Linked DNA regions of Saccharomyces cerevisiae S288C. The gene in region 1 interacts genetically with each later gene. Each region holds a gene or a part of one and is shown in the gene's direction. Other genes may lie near its edges.

What was found. A genetic interaction does not mean that the proteins touch.
Region 2: mutations in OPT2 (region 1) and FRE3 together harm fitness more than expected from each alone (negative genetic interaction), as found in Saccharomyces cerevisiae (one large-scale study listed by BioGRID).

The regions. Positions count from the first base shown.
Region 1 is NC_001148.4:925,170-928,927, reverse strand, and holds the start of OPT2 (Opt2p), read left to right. Parts: upstream 1-1,990; coding exon 1,991-3,758. Other genes in the region: YPR195C (uncharacterized protein), read left to right, coding at 634-963. UniProt on the Saccharomyces cerevisiae protein: Transports tetra- and pentapeptides. Does not transport glutathione.
Region 2 is NC_001147.6:1,053,707-1,057,464, forward strand, and holds the start of FRE3 (ferric-chelate reductase), read left to right. Parts: upstream 1-1,838; coding exon 1,839-3,758. UniProt on the Saccharomyces cerevisiae protein: Siderophore-iron reductase responsible for reducing extracellular iron prior to import. Catalyzes the reductive uptake of Fe(3+) bound to di- and trihydroxamate siderophores.

The DNA.
Region 1 (3,758 bases):
GAGCAGTAATGAAAAAGACGTTTTTAATAAACTTACCTGCTCAACTTTAGACTTTAGCATCGAAAATTATGGGTCGTTTAGATAAATAATGAAGTTATTCTAAGCCGCACGTAGTAACAAATCTTGAAGTAAAGGACACCAAAAATTGTATTCCGTGCTGTGGAATGTTGGTGCCAGCATTAATCGAATGGTCCATTTCTTTTCTTACCTTTTTGAAGGAACTGATCCTTCAATTCATATTTTTCACTAACGAAAGAAAATAAAGATTTAGTAGGATACCAAGTACTAAAAGCAAAAAAAGAGTATAGTATTTACATAATCTACATATGTGCAAAGGCTCCTCCTTATTTAGAGAAGAAACTTTCCCTTTCCTTAACCGATGCGGTAATTCAACACGTGAATTTCAGCTATTTTAAGTTTGTTTGGTATTCACAGTTCAGAATATTTCTTTTTGAGTCAGCTCATTTCACGTATTTGCAATGTATGTCATTTAGTTGAGATGATAATGAAAGAGCCCCACGCGCTGGTGCGATCTATGATGAAAAATGTAAATACGAAACTTTACTAAAAATAAATAGGGCAGAATATAGATAAGCAAGAATAGAAAGATCACAGATTTGACTGCACAGTCAAATGAATTCTCTCATCCCTCTTTTAGTGGAAGCATCAACATACATTGTAAGAGGAGAAAGCAGCATCTCAATTGCCATTGGAATAGGGCCTCAAGCTAGCAGGAGTGTGCCGTACCACATTCTTTGCAGGGGATGTGACGGCACGGTAACAACTTTTCGTACGTGGCATACGCAACCACTCGGGCCTTGCAATACAATCATCATAGGCAGAAAAGGTAATGAGACAACCGGCGGCGCAGAACAGAGGAGGCAGCAGCACTTAACGTCTGATTCAGCAACAAAAGCGTCATTGGTGGGTTTTTGTGGGCTGTATTATTATTTCAGGAAATAGTAACTGAACGTGTCAACTTTGCATTAACGCGTTTTTCCTATTTGGGTACGGAGATATTTATGTTTTGATAAGCAAATGCTTCAATTGTGCCGTGCGCATCATCAATCCCACTCACTGAGGAACTCTATAATGAAAAAAAAACAAACAGGCAAAAGCAGATAGACCAATAATTGATATCTGATTTTTCACAAAAAATGCAGGAGAGATCAGCATTAAACGGATCCATCACATCCACCGGACGAATCCGTCTCAAATATGGCAGCCACGCTGGTGTGACACATAATATTACTGCAACACTTCTTATCTCATTATTTTTATCATGGTAAAAGAAGTCAACACTATGCGAGGAATACCAAAAGAAAATTTGGTTCACATCATGGTGTCAGTAAAAGCAACCGACAAAAATCGGGGGGTTGCTGTCCGACGTAGTTTCTTCGTTATAATTTTCAATAATCCCACATTTCGTTGTTAACCTTTTGCAAAAATTGATGTAGTTTGTTTTCCTCTTGGCCCCTGTTGTGGTTACCGAACACGTGAATCGCCATTGCGGTTGTCAATATCAGCCCATTGGGTTTTATGAAGATTCGTAACACCTTCGATTATTTAAGTTTATTCTCTTATCTACAATAATAATAGCGTTCTTTTACAATTGGACGCTGTTATCTTACTTCTGAATGTTCATGGATTGGAAATTTTCAATCATTTCACGAATTATTAGCAATGAAGATAAGTAACATTAAAAAAAATATTGATATCAACTTGCTAGGTTTCTTCTCGCTTCAAAAAAATTTATAAATGGGAATGGAACACTATCCTGTGTAAACTTAAGTCATGTCTCAAGTCAGTTGTTACTTATATTCATTCCTATCGAAACATCCCAAAAAATAATATTTGAAACACTTACAATCATACATTGAACGTCTAAACAACGGCGGCATTTTTTTAATAGCAGAAACGAACATATTAGCTTATTCTACAACTAGTAGGGTTTGTTATACGCAATATTGCTGTTGAATTATTAGAAATTATGAGTGAAACAGTCAAAGATAAAGTTATAATTGATGAGAAGGTATCCACAAAAGGTACTGTTGATTACGCCGAGGGTGCTGAGTATTCTGAGAGGCTTTCAAATCATTCATCAGACTTTTCTCAGTGGTATACGGATGAACAGATACTGCACTTTATGAAGAAGCTGGGTTATGAAAATCGCACTCTTTATGATATTCCGGAAGACGTTGCGTATATCCTCAAAAAAATGCCTGAATTGACACTTGAGGATTCCTTCAAAATACTAAAAGACTCTATCATCTATTTCAAGGATGATGAGAACATTCCACACGATCAATATGAGGAGTGGAAGAGATTGGTTGACTTGGAGGACTTGGATTCAAAAGAGGGGATAGATGAATATGATAGCTTTGACATTAGAGCATTTGCTTCTGCTATTAAATTTCATTCGCCTTACCAAGAGGTTAGAGCTGTTGTTGATCCAGAAGATGATCCCACCATTCCAGTGGAGACATTCCGAGCATATTTTCTGGCAATAATTTGGTCTGTCATCGGTTCAGGATTTAATGAGTTTTTTTCACACAGGGTGGTTTCAATTTCACTGAATACTCCAATTATCCAAATGTTTTTATATATCTGTGGTAAGGCTTGGGCTAAAACTATCCCCTGTTGGACTATAACCATCAGGGGCAGAAAGTATGGTATCAATATCGATAAACCATGGACCCAAAAAGAGCAAATGTTTTCAACCTTGTTATATGCAATTTGTCAAGGCGCGTTCTATACTCATTACAATATTCTAACGCAAAAACTCTTTTACCATTCTGCTTTCTCGTTTGGCTACCAATTTTTACTTTCGTTATCCGTACAATTTATTGGATTTGGATTTGCTGGCATCCTTAGAAAATTCGTTGTTTATCCAGCCCGTGCACTATGGCCAACAGTCATGCCAACTATTGCTATCAACAAGGCACTATTGGGTAAAGAAAAGCATGAATCTGGAATGAGCAGGTATAAATTCTTTTTCTTGACTTTTTTTATCATGTTCATCTATAACTGGTTTCCCACTTACATTATTAATATTCTAAACACTTTCAATTGGATGACCTGGATCAAGCCAAGTAACATTAATCTCGCAAACATCACGGGAGGAGTCACTGGTCTTGGGATTAATCCTATCTCATCTTTTGACTGGAATGTTATTTCGTTTAATTCTCCTTTAGTTTACCCATTTTGGTCATACTTAACACAATATCTTGGTTGCATATTAGCAGCTTTAATTGTTATTGCAGTATACTATAGTAATTATATGAGTTGCCAATACCTGCCAATATTCACAAATTCTTTGTATACTAATACTGGCCATTCCTTTAAAGTTACTGAGGTATTAGACAGTGACAATAAGCTAGATGTGAAAAAATATCAAAGCTACTCGCCACCATACTATAGTGCTGGAAATTTGGTATCATATGGTGCTTTCATTTGCGCATATCCTCTGATGATTACATGGTCGTTTATTGTACACTCAAAGTTATTGTTCAATGCTTTCAAAGATTGGGCTTTGAATTTGTGGGCCATGAGAAAACTTAAATCTTGGGTCACAATGTTCAAAAGCGATTACAGGGCGCTCGACGATTATGATGACCCACATTCTAATGCCATGAAAAACTATAAAGAAGTTCCAGATTGGTGGTATTTTGCCATATTGATAGGTTCACTTGTTGTTGGAATAGCTGTTGTAGAGCACTACCCAACAAATACACCAGTTTGGGGTCTTTTTGTTTGTT
Region 2 (3,758 bases), on another chromosome or scaffold:
ATTTTGTTCGGTCTCGGCTATATTTGGAAGAAAAATAGCCAGTACATACTTTCTACCACTTTCGCTCAATTATCAATAAAAACATTTAATCGAAAGTCATTCAAACTGAAAACTTCAAAAGTCATTTTTTTATTGCTTCCCATTCCAATCACAATTATGCTTTGAGCCAATTTCAGTAAAACTTTGAAAATACGTAGGCGCATCGCATCGCCTAACTTAATTCGCGGTTTAACTAGCTTCCTCCACCAGTTCCATAAAAAAATGATGGATCAGTGCAAAAAAATTTTATCATAAATCTGATGAAGTATACTAAGCTGAATAAGCTGTAGGCCTTATTTGCTTTTTTCATACCCTTGGTTGGTACGACAGTAAAGATTGGCAGGTTCGGAGATACAACTTTTTTTGAGGCTTAGAATGCTCGGCCTGCATAAAATGGCGTTAAAGTTGCGCACAGGCCCCGGAAACCCTGCCAAGGAATATTACATAAGTTGCAACATCTTTTTCCAATACATGGTTAGAGAGTTTTTAATCGTTATACTTTTTTCTCATTTGATTAAAAAATATAAAATGAATTGCGAAATTCTTCTAGAAATGCGTTACTATTTTACGGTTGGCATTGCAAGATTATTATAACTACGAAGCAGTGTTGGAAAATATCATCTGGGAAGAAATTCCTATTTCTTGGGAAGAATTACATGTGCATAAAAAGATAAAACCCTCGATCACCCAAAATTGACTTTGCGACTAAAAAGTGATTTTTTCAGCATATTGCATTTCAAAAAGTCGTTGTTTAGCACAACTCATAGAAAATAAATACTAGTATGATTCGGGAATTATTTATCAGTTAATTATAGGAGTACAGCCTTTTATAGAGTTGGCGAAGATAGCCAAAAGATAAAAGCTTTGACGTACGTCTGTAAAAAGTGCCTTTTCTGATCGAATCCAGTTGCTCAGATATCCGGGAAGTTGTTAGCATTCATTGCTTTTCTGCACTATATCAGCATATGAATGCTTTCAGTATTTTAATTTTACCCTTTCACGAAGTACGCCAGAAAATGATTGGAAACGTACTCAAAAACAAAGCAGGAAATAAGCGACGAAAATTTTTCATTTCAATTAAGAGGTACTGAGCGGCTACTTAACTTTTTCTGCAGTAAGTAATGACAGAGTATCACTACAGAATTCTGTGCCTCCGGTCTGGGAATGCAGCTAGGGAGACAGCACCCTTTTGCTAATAATGCGCCGGAAATGAAACATTTAGATAAAATCTAAAGTTACGAAAACAATACACTTTGAGGGAAAGATATCAGAGAATTAAAAGCTGCAAAGAACTATGACAAATTAACCGCTTTGTTGACCCTAGATCATAGTTTACACTGCGAACGGGATAGTTGCAACCTCTTTTGTAAAATGCACCCATATCTCATTTTGCCTTTATTTCGGGTGTATAATAGGAGAAAAATTTGAATGGTAAAGAATAAGTCCCTTGCGAGTGTCAAGAGAAGCACAATTATTATTACTATTGGTGACGTGATTGAACTCGAGAATTTTCCTGGACCGATATTTGAGTTTTACGTGGAATGTGGGTGTACCTCATCTCAAAGAATTGGCGAAAAGCCAAACTTCTTAATTCTAACAAAAGCTACTGATTCGTTGGCGATGAAAGACTCTTTTTTTTGGCTGTCAGAAGCTTTCATCTTTGACATAGATGTACAGAATTTGATCAATTGTTTATATTAAAAGATTCGTCGCAACTTATATAAGGTGGCAAGAGAATGATTAACTTCAATTGCTGATGAACGTTCTCAATTCAAAAATTATAAGACACAAGGAAAACAATGTATTGGGTCCTCCTTTGTGGTTCTATTTTGTTATGCTGCTTGTCAGGAGCAAGCGCCTCCCCTGCTAAGACAAAAATGTACGGCAAGTTACCACTGGTTTTGACAGATGCCTGCATGGGAGTTCTCGGCGAAGTAACCTGGGAGTATAGTAGTGACGATTTATATTCCTCACCAGCATGTACATATGAACCGGCATTACAGTCAATGTTGTATTGTATTTACGAATCATTGAATGAAAAGGGTTATTCCAATAGAACCTTTGAAAAAACCTTTGCTGCTATCAAAGAAGACTGCGCATATTACACTGATAACCTTCAGAATATGACTAATGCAGATTTCTATAATATGCTGAATAATGGAACAACATACATAATACAGTATTCTGAAGGTAGCGCGAATCTTACGTATCCAATCGAGATGGATGCCCAAGTGAGAGAAAACTATTATTATTCTTACCATGGTTTCTACGCCAACTACGACATTGGTCATACTTATGGTGGTATTATTTGCGCCTATTTTGTAGGTGTTATGATTCTTGCCAGCATACTCCATTATCTAAGTTACACTCCGTTTAAAACTGCCTTATTTAAACAAAGACTTGTAAGATATGTGAGAAGATATTTGACAATACCTACTATCTGGGGTAAACATGCGTCGAGCTTTTCTTACCTTAAAATTTTTACAGGCTTCCTTCCCACACGATCTGAAGGCGTCATTATACTTGGATACCTCGTGCTTCATACAGTTTTTCTGGCATACGGGTATCAATATGATCCTTACAACTTAATTTTCGACTCTCGTAGAGAACAGATTGCTCGATACGTGGCAGATAGAAGTGGTGTCCTGGCATTTGCACATTTTCCCCTAATAGCTCTTTTCGCAGGAAGGAACAATTTTCTAGAATTCATTTCTGGAGTAAAATATACCTCTTTCATAATGTTTCATAAGTGGTTGGGAAGAATGATGTTTTTAGATGCTGTGATTCATGGCGCTGCTTATACCAGTTATTCCGTATTCTACAAAGATTGGGCAGCAAGCAAGGAAGAGACATATTGGCAATTTGGAGTAGCTGCTCTTTGTATAGTTGGTGTTATGGTGTTTTTTTCTTTGGCAATGTTCAGAAAGTTTTTCTATGAAGCCTTCTTATTTCTCCATATTGTGCTTGGCGCATTGTTCTTTTATACGTGTTGGGAGCACGTCGTAGAATTGAGTGGGATTGAGTGGATATACGCTGCTATTGCTATCTGGACTATTGATAGGCTAATTCGAATTGTTAGAGTATCTTATTTCGGTTTCCCTAAGGCTTCCTTACAGTTAGTTGGCGATGACATCATTCGAGTCACAGTCAAACGACCAGTAAGGCTATGGAAAGCCAAACCAGGACAGTATGTTTTCGTTTCATTCCTACACCACCTGTATTTTTGGCAGTCACATCCTTTCACAGTCTTAGATTCAATTATCAAAGATGGTGAGCTGACTATTATCCTGAAGGAAAAAAAGGGAGTAACAAAACTTGTCAAAAAGTATGTGTGTTGCAATGGAGGTAAGGCATCTATGAGACTAGCTATAGAAGGTCCATATGGCTCTTCATCTCCAGTCAATAATTATGATAACGTCTTGCTACTTACGGGAGGTACTGGTTTGCCAGGGCCCATTGCACACGCCATTAAACTTGGAAAAACGTCAGCGGCAACTGGAAAACAATTCATAAAATTAGTGATTGCAGTTAGAGGGTTTAACGTACTCGAGGCTTACAAGCCGGAGCTGATGTGTCTAGAAGATCTTAATGTACAGCTTCACATCTACAATACAATGGAAGTTCCGGCATTAACTCCTAATGATAGTTTGGAAATTTCTCAACAAGACGAGAAGGCCGATGGAAAAGGTGTTGTTATGGCAACTACCCTAGAACAGTCA